Coturnix japonica: one gene and its partner. The protein of the gene in region 1 interacts with the protein of each later gene in a biochemical or structural test. Links are inferred from orthologs where the notes say so. Each region holds a gene or a part of one and is shown on either strand. Other genes may lie near its edges.

Region 1 (4,275 bases):
GGTGTATATACCTTTTACCATTGTGGCACACAGTTCATTGCTGGTGAAAATGAACAGGTAATGGTGGTGACTACACTGAAAAATACTGTTTTGTAGCCGAGAATTTTCTCTGTCAAATAGTGTTATTGTGCTCTTTGTATCTGTTGTAGTTTCCATAGGAATAAATAGGACATACTACTTTCAGAGCAACTGATGTAGATAAGATCGTATCAAAACTGCAAAGAGGAACAGTAAAGCTAAAATAAAAGTCATAAGCACGTTTTGTGGCTGTCCACTACAATTAACTTCTTCATTGCAGGTGGTATATTTGGTACCTCGGGATTTTCACATTATTTTCAATACATGTAGAAAAATAACTATTATGTTTATATGGTGAAGTTTTGGTAAGGGGGGAACTGCAGGCAGGTGAAATGAGACCAGGAGCTTCCCGCTTCATGTTGGATAGAGCTGACTCCAGGTGGACCCAGTGCTAGCCAAAGCAAAGCCAATGAGCAACGCTGCTTGTTTCTTTGATACCATGTTTATGAAATGATAAAAAACATGCAGCAGCTATGAAAGGAGAGAGTCAGAAGTGAAGCTCAGTCTGGGAAGAAGTTGAGGGGAAAGGTGTTTTTAGCTCGTTGTTGTTCTTACTGTCCTACTTTGTAATGAGTTAGCAATAAATTAAATTAAGCTTCCCAAAGTCGAGTGTTTTTGCCTTGTGACAGTAAATGGTGAACAATCTCCCTGCCCTTATCATAATCCATTAGTCCTTCTGTAGCTGTTTTCTCCTCTTATTCTGCTGAGGAGGGGGATTGAGAGAATGACTTGGTGGGAACCAGGCAAAAAGCCAAAGTCAACCCACCACAATAATACACATTTATCTCGACTGTTAGAACATAATACATAATATCAAATGCTTATATAAAACAGTAGCTTCCAGTAAATTCCAAAGTACTTTATACATAATACTGTTACCAAACACTTCTAGCAAACACTTGCTTCCAGCAACTTTATCCTCAGCACTCTGAGGGTGCTTCATAAATAAATGCAGCTCCATTTTGCAGATGCAGTTTACCTGCCCCATTGAAGGTCTTTCAATAGAACAGGGGCAGAATGAAGCACAAAATCTGCAGCCTTAGATTCATTACGCCGTACTACTTATTAGCCAGTCCAGGAAGGGTTTCTTTGGCCCCATGGAGCCAAATATTCAAGCTTGTATTCATTTGGTGAAATTAAGAGAGAGATTTCCACAGGGAAGTGCTGCAGGCTGTGGATCAAAGGGCAGCATCCATCTCTCCAAAATATGATTTTAATGCTGTTGCCTAAAGTTTAACAAGTTTTCTAGTGAGAGTTGAATGGGCTTCTTCTCACAAGATCATTAAGGAGTTGTGAGGCAACCTGTCATGTTTGGCACTGGGCACAGTGTGCAGAAAGCACGAGAGCACAGAGTACAAATCCATTAGCATTAGCTGTCCTGTGCTTGTCCCTCTTTTTCCATTTGTTACCTTGGCTCGCCAGGCATTTATCTTTCCTTTCTGATTGAGACGGGCAAGGGAAGGCTCCCAGGTGCTAAACCAGGATGTCTTAACAGATGAGGCTGTTATCTGAGTATTCTTGATCTCTCCATTTTCCATTCCAAGTGGCAAAGAGCAACCTGTTAAGAGAAGTGCCATATTCAACCATGTAGCCATAGTCTAAGTAACAAAGCTGGAATGGAAAACACTCACAATTTAAGCTTATTTTGAACATAAAAGTTAAAAAATTGCCAGAAAGGAAGCACATGAATCATCCTTACCATCTACTTCACAGCCAAGGAGCTCCATGCGAAGAGTGGGTTCATTGTAGGCCTGTGTTGGGTAGACTCTGATATATCTTGCAATAATAGGGGGATCAATGATGTTCTCTTTTATACCATAGGCATCAGAATTACCTTCAAAAATCTATTAAAAAAAACAAAAACAAACCCACATATAGTTAATTTAATACAAACACAAGTTTGGATATTGAAAAGCCTGCTCTGTTATGGAAGTCTTTTTTGCCATTAGCCCATGATGGAGCATCTTATGTTGCGAGGCAACGTGTATTATTTCATGGTCCCGTCTTAGCATCTAAAGGCCTCAGTTCAAGTAAGCAACCCATTGCTATGTGCTATATAAAACTGATGGAAAAGTGGCAAAAGAAGAGGTAAGAGAAAGTTCTTTGATTTGGGAGTCCTACCACAGAAAGCTGTATTTGGCAAGGCTGGAGTGCTTGACTATAAAAGAAGCCTCTTTTGGGTTATGTCCAGACTTGTTACATGTGCCAACTACAGGCAATGCAGAGAGCTTAAAATTCAATTGCTGTGACAGGAGGGAGGAAGAAAAAGGAAGATGCATCTGGTTCCAAATGAAATAGGGTCTAATTTTTAGTTCATCTTCCTGCTCATTTCCAAAAGTCAATGTGAGCTTAGGAAATAAAAATAGGAAGAAATTCTTGTGAGGAAGCCAGACTCTACAGAAAAGGTCACAGGAACGATCTAAATCCCAGTCTAGCAGGTTTATCTTACAATTTGCCTTCTGGTCTGAATTTGATTAGTAAATGCTCATTGAGGTTTCAAGCTGTATTACTAAAGTCTCTGAATACCACCACTCCTTCCATTATCTCTAACATAAAATTATCAACTTGCTGTATCATCCAATGAGGTTACCTAGCTTGTTGCAATCCCCGTTGTATGCACAAACCTTTTCTGCTGGAGAGCTGTCTCCTCTGAAAGTGTTCCACTTTCGTTTGTCTTTGCTGTAAACAATGAAGAACTTCTGGACGTAGAAAGACTTTAAAAAATGCTTGGCACCCTGCGTCTGTATTCCAGTTAATAGAACTTGTCTTTGAAAGTCCACCTAGGAACAGAAAAAAACGAGTGTTTATAAAGTCAGAACCACACAATGATATAAGTTGCATTCTTTGGCATCTACACAGTAGCTTTGCATTTTGGTATCCACAATATAACACCCTCAGAAGGAATACAAGCAGTTGCTGGAGTCCAAATGAATACTGTCTCTAATTTCATATGTGTATTTACTTCAGAGGTCATTTTACCAGGGTTCACCAGAGCACTACAAAGGCACTTCAAAAATATCTGTGTCTGTGCTAGGCAAAAGGGCTCTCTCTATTTTGCAGATAGGCAAAAGTAGTATAGAGAAACCCAAGGCTCACATTTTCATAAGCTGCCTCTGGTTTTGGAAATCCAGGCTGATAAATGGGACATTTTATTCAGAAGAGATGGAAAGCCACCCCATTTCTTCTGATATTGGATCCTAAGACTTAGCACACAAGAACAAATTAGCAAGATGCTCCTATCAGCAGTGGAGTTGATTCTCTGGAATATGCCCTCCATCCACACCTCTGCACGATCTCTTGCAATAACCTCAGCTTCTCATTACTATAGCCCTTATCAAATTGTTTATCTTCTCAACATATTTTGCAGTTCCCCTACTTCACCTCCACTAACTTGCTAGCATGTAAATTGTTTACAAGCTAACAGCTTGTTAACAGCTACCTGTTGAACTTATGCTGCAACACTAGTTTGAGTCTCTCTCTTCCCTCAACTGGTCATTTTCATGAGATTTTAAAGAAATCACAGGTATGGGTTTAACTGGTGCAAAAGTCATCGGATAGAAGAAAAACATGGAAGTGAAGCACGTAAAGAGTACAGTGCTTGAAGCTTCATTTGCCTGTGATATGTCAAGCTGAACATAAAAGCTGAAGCATCCAGTAAAAATAAAAGTTCTCCAAAACCATTTGAAGTAATACTTGAGGGTATTATACATTAAATGATCACCCAACAAATGTACATAAAAATAAATTTATACTGTTAGGTAGGCAAAGAAAAAGAAAAGGTAAAGAATGATTTTGTTTGCCTACAGAACGGTTTCAGCCTAAATTGTAAGGGTGACTGTTGAACCACTGAGCTTCAGTGGCACTACAGACTGGGTTAACTCCAGGAGAGGTAGGCAACTTATGGCATCTCTAAGCAAAGTTGCTGTGTCTTGTGTTTTCCCAAGCAGTTTTCTCTGCAAGAACAGGAGCAGCTTGATTTTCTAATACAAGCTGCAAGAAAAACACAACACAGGAATGTATGGTCATGTCCAGACTTAACAATGGCCAAGGACTCATTGTATGATACCTGAATCCAAGGGAGATCACTGGTCATTGTTGTACTCCAAGCATTGTATGTTCCAGAATTGTTTAATCGGGCTAGCTTAGGTTCCCAGTAGTCTACAGAAAAAGAAATATGAATAAAGAATGTAATGAGAT
Region 2 (4,942 bases), about 5.5 Mb from region 1:
AGAACAAATGAATAAAAAGAAATATAATTCACCTGGCAGGCCACCCAAGTAGGTGACAACATCTGTTATCATTGCTTGATGCAGGACAGACAGTAGCTCTGCGTTGCTTTGGTCTGTGCGTGAATCAACAGACAGTTGTAGCTGCTGTTTGGTTACCAGAAGTCCAACTTGCACTTTCCTGGGTGTACATAGCTTCTTTGATTCTAGACGTGCCACAGTGATGTTTCCAATAGTCACAATGATTTCCTAAACAAGAGAATATAAAGTCACAAAATATGGCACGTGTAACTTTAACACACAATAATACTTAATTCTGATACATTTTACATTTGTAAGTAGAAAGAAAAAGAATATGAGAGATGTTTTAAAAAGATGTATATTAAGCTGGAAAAGATACTGAAGCTGATAGCTGCATCACCTTTGTAAGCAAAGCCATTCACTTATACTCTGAAGCTTGTAAATGAGAACATTCACTGTAAAAACCCTTTGGTTGTGGTTCTGAGGTGAAATCCTGTTTCTCTTAAAGTCAAAGGGAGTATTGCTACAGCTTCGATGGTACTTAGTTTTCCTTATGTGCTCTCATTTCAGCAGATGTATGGATGAGCAAAAACATTTGTTTATAAATTGAAACTAACATCACTGCCTTAATATCATGACTCAACCTCTACCATACTCCCTTTTCTGCTTTGTGCATTTGGAAGGAGATGTTAGAGACATGATATAATGAATAGCACCTAACACAGGAGCACTTAGTGCTTTGTCCCTGCTGTAGCAATTGCAAATAGTAATTCATTTTCTGCACATCAAAATATGATGGAAGTGCTTTGCGAAATATAAATTCAGCTTTCCACCTCCTCTGTGTGTAAGTAAGTTCTTTTTAGTTTGACTTTTTTCACAAGTGAGTAGTAAGTTAAGTGATACAAAGCTGAGAGTTGTGATTCATGTCAGTTGATGTTCCATATGCTGAAACTGTAAGATCACCTGTGAGTCAGAAGAGTTAGAGTCCACTATGGACAAAGCAAGAGGCACTGTTTCATTAGAAACCAGGGCAAACATAACACCAGTGTCTGCGGATGGGCGAATAGTCATGGTCACATTTATTAGCCAGTCTTCAGCATTGTCAAGATTGTCTGTTTTAAAAGAAAAGATTGAAAGTAATTAGTTAACCTGCTAATGAAAAATTAATATAGTCTTAAAAAATTACTACTCCATCTGTTTTCCTATTGTGGAAAAATTAGTACTAATCTCCAGAAAAAGTGAATTTTGGACCTTCTAGAAAGAACTGCAAGTCTAAACTTAACCAACAAAACAACCCACTCAAACTTTGCATCTTTGCTATTGTTCTTTTAAGATGTCAGACGTTTTAAATGCTATTTTCTCTGTTCTAACATGGAACAGGTGCCGTATTTACTATAGGTCAATTTAAGATCAAACTTAAAAAAATGACTTAACTCATATATTTCTGCCACTGAGTAGAAGATTGGCAGTTATGACACATTTTTACATTCTGAAATCATTCCGCTATTAAAATGGGAATACGCAGATGGGTAAAACAAACGTGCAGATGGTGCGAATATAATTTAATATGATGTATTCACAGTGAAGCTAATACAAAAATTGTTTAAAGAGCTATTTGTCAACTTTTCTAACTTCTAGCGTCTGCCCTCCCTTCCCCAGTAACATCTAAGTTGATTTCTGGTAGTTTCTTCAAGAAGCAGAAATTCTAGAACATGAAATTAGGTCAGATCCCTACACAGAGGAAAGCGTGAGTGGAAGCAGAGGGCTATAACAGCCTGTGGGAAGGCAGTAGTAGCTGTGGGCAGCCACTTGAACTTGAGGAGGGTGGTATGGGGCTGGAAACTGAATGGGGTGTGGAGAGAGTGAAGGCATAGCAGCAGCCCATGTAAAAAGGTCAGGAGGATACATGTCAGCATGATGTGAATGAATGGGAGCAAAGCAGAGGAACCTTCTATGGCATAAGAAATCACTTGAGTTGGTTGGAAACTTGATGTAAGAAGCTAGAGAAATCTTTTGAAGTGGGATACCAAGGATGTAAATAAAAGGCCTTAGAAGGAATAACTATTCCTAGGATGAAAAGGACTGGGGATCAAAAGGAGGTTGAAGGGTAGGAAAGCATCTGAGATATGGAAGTGCAATGATGACAAGATTTGTGATGATACTAGATATATTTCACTTCAGGAATTTGAGAGAGCAGAGGGTGATCCTGAGTTGCAAAACTTGAAATTAGGGCAGGAAGACAGGCAATAAATTTTTGGGTTCAGGAGAAGATAGGCACTCCAACAGGATGTTCATTTAAGAGATGAATTATATGAACAAAACTGTAGTGATCCTTTTCCACATCCCCAATATACTTTCTCTGTCAATAATATTGTAGGTCTCTCCATGGATAAACAGAGCAGAATTAGATCTAATTAGAATTAGTGCCCATTTTTTACAAATGAAGAATATGCTTCCTAGCCTAAAGCATTTGAGAAATTAAACCGATGACATCAGTGGGAGCAAAAACCCTCACTCAAACATATTCCTCAAAAAAATTACTGGAATCACCACTGAATGCAGTGGTAGGTAGCTTAGTGTTGTTTTTCTTTTCTTTTTCTTTCCTTTACAATTCATCACCTCCAGCAAAATCCAGCAAAAAGTATAACAAGTATAACAACATACAGAAAAATTCTTACTGTAGTTTATATTAAACTTTGCCATGCCATTTCCAGGGTAGAATGATCCTCTCTCAACTGTTACTAAGCAGTGTTTACTCTGCTTTTCTTGAATAACTTCTTTTACACCTGAATGTCCTTGATTCATCAGGTTCCAGGCACGAATGCACCCATCCAGCCGAGGGTTAATCTGTAGAGGAATTACAGCACCAGAGGTGTGAACTCAAATTTATTTTAAAACTATTAAGAAGGTCTTACTTTACATATCAACATACAGCCAGTAATAGCATTTCAATGCTATTGGTTACAGAACTGATACTTGAGAGAAAACAAATGGCATGCATTTAGTATGTCAGCCTTCCATAAATTATCCTGATGTAATAGTTCCAGTTTTGATGTTGATTTCCGTACCCACTCAGGGCATAGCAGAAGCTAACATCACAAACGTGATTAGGCCTTAAGCACTGTGTTTTTATAACTGAAACCAGAGGATAGACTGCAAAGTTGTCTGCACATTTACTTTCAAAACAGTGGTTAATAACCCAATTTTCATTTTCCGAATGGATTCCAAGCTACTATTCTTTCCTGTGTGACTGCAAAAGAAAAAATACAGAAAGTAATAAATCTTAATTAACACTGATTTTTTAGTTACCTGTTTAATGAGAGTGTCACCAACTTTGCGAGGTAACCCTGCAATGTACACCTTAGTTTCCAAGAAACCGTGTGATTGCTTGAAGAGAGTTCCTGGGCTGTTAATGTTCATCACTGCTTCTTTAGCTATTTTTACACTGATGCTGTTTTCTAGTTCTTCAACTGATATCTAGAATGAAATGTAACTATTTAAATATGTACACACAAATAAGTAGGATATTTCTAAATGCTAATTATATATGCCTGTATGAAGGATTATTTTTATATCACTAAATATCTGAATTGTAAAACAGCACTAATGCATTCAGTACTTTATAGCATATTTAAATTTGGATCAGCTGTGGACATCCAATAGAAAGATCATCTTTATTTTTACTCCCATCCTACCCACAAGAATACCTACACAGCTGATTAGTTTGCTTCATGCCCTATAGAACTTTCAAGATGCTGACTTCTACAATTGTACAATTTCTACATTTGGCATACAGTTCTCCATTGCACTGTAACCTGTAATCAGGATACAGAGGGTTGAGTCTCCAGACAGAACACAAACAGAACAGATTCAGCTCTTGCTACTATTAGGCATCAAAGTAGAATTTTAATCTCAAGCAAGTTGAACTGAACTGTAAGAGGTCTATGCTGAATTCTGGGTTCTCTTGTCTCACTCTCTAAAAACAAATTTATCTTAACAATATGGTGTCAATTACAGATGGTATAACTGAGCAAGGTCTTTCATCTTAGGAGTGCAAGCTTGAAGAACAAGCTGCACTTCTGGTTTACTGAAAGTAGATTTGCTTTCTAGGCAAAGTGTCTTATTCTTGTGGAGTTCAACCTGTAATCACACTTTCTAATTATCTACTGCTTCCTTTTTCATGATTACAAAGAAGAATTCCTATGTTGCTAGGTAGTATTAGCTCTCTCTTTACCAATTATGATGATAAACAGGTGTCATGGTTTTGTAATTAACCTGTGACAACAGGTACCACAAATTCCCAGAGGAAGGGCATCCTTGCACATTTCTTGGTTAATTTTTTTAAAATCTGAGATATGGGAGCATCATTTTAAGCCTCCAGAATAGTTACTTACATTCTGCATATAGTTCAGTTGGGGGATTAAAGGAAGGGAAAAAGGCAAATCCAACTTACAATATGCCACAGGCCATCATTAATGGCTTTTCCTCCACTGGTAACTTTTGTTCCAAATTCATTCTTGAACTGAATTTCAATCTTTCCATCGCGAAGAGCAAGCAAGATCCATGCTGTATTGTCAAGGGATTCTGCGTATAGTATAACTCCCTCTGTATCGTATGTCCGGAAATCAAATTCTGCTGAAAATCTGAATTATGAAGAAGAATTTTTTATTAAGACAGGAATCCTGAAGTACTGAAGAGCCTAGGAAAACCTATTAGTAGGGTAAGAAACAGTTGATAGTCACCTTTTGGTAATTCTGTTTCTGAGCATTTGTGAGATTTGCATCCTATTAGACAAAGGCAGAATCTGATGTTGTTTATCTAAATCCAGGGAGAAGCTTAGCAACTAATTCCTGGAACTGGGATTGAAAAAAGCTTTTGTTCAGTTACCACGTCTCATATGAGCTTTGCACGTGAAGGATATCGC

The links.
Region 2: the proteins of F5 (region 1) and PROS1 form a complex in vitro, tested with the Homo sapiens proteins (2 studies listed by BioGRID). The link is inferred for Coturnix japonica from reciprocal best matches to the Homo sapiens genes F5 and PROS1.

The regions. Positions count from the first base shown.
Region 1 is NC_029516.1:74,924,147-74,928,421, reverse strand, and holds part of F5 (coagulation factor V), read right to left. Parts: intron 4,237-4,275; coding exon 4,145-4,236; intron 2,859-4,144; coding exon 2,703-2,858; intron 1,923-2,702; coding exon 1,778-1,922; intron 1,637-1,777; coding exon 1,488-1,636; intron 1-1,487. UniProt on the Homo sapiens protein: Central regulator of hemostasis. It serves as a critical cofactor for the prothrombinase activity of factor Xa that results in the activation of prothrombin to thrombin.
Region 2 is NC_029516.1:80,452,288-80,457,229, forward strand, and holds part of PROS1 (vitamin K-dependent protein S), read right to left. Parts: intron 4,662-4,942; coding exon 4,472-4,661; intron 3,496-4,471; coding exon 3,328-3,495; intron 2,866-3,327; coding exon 2,697-2,865; intron 1,131-2,696; coding exon 982-1,130; intron 247-981; coding exon 33-246; intron 1-32. UniProt on the Homo sapiens protein: Anticoagulant plasma protein; it is a cofactor to activated protein C in the degradation of coagulation factors Va and VIIIa. It helps to prevent coagulation and stimulating fibrinolysis.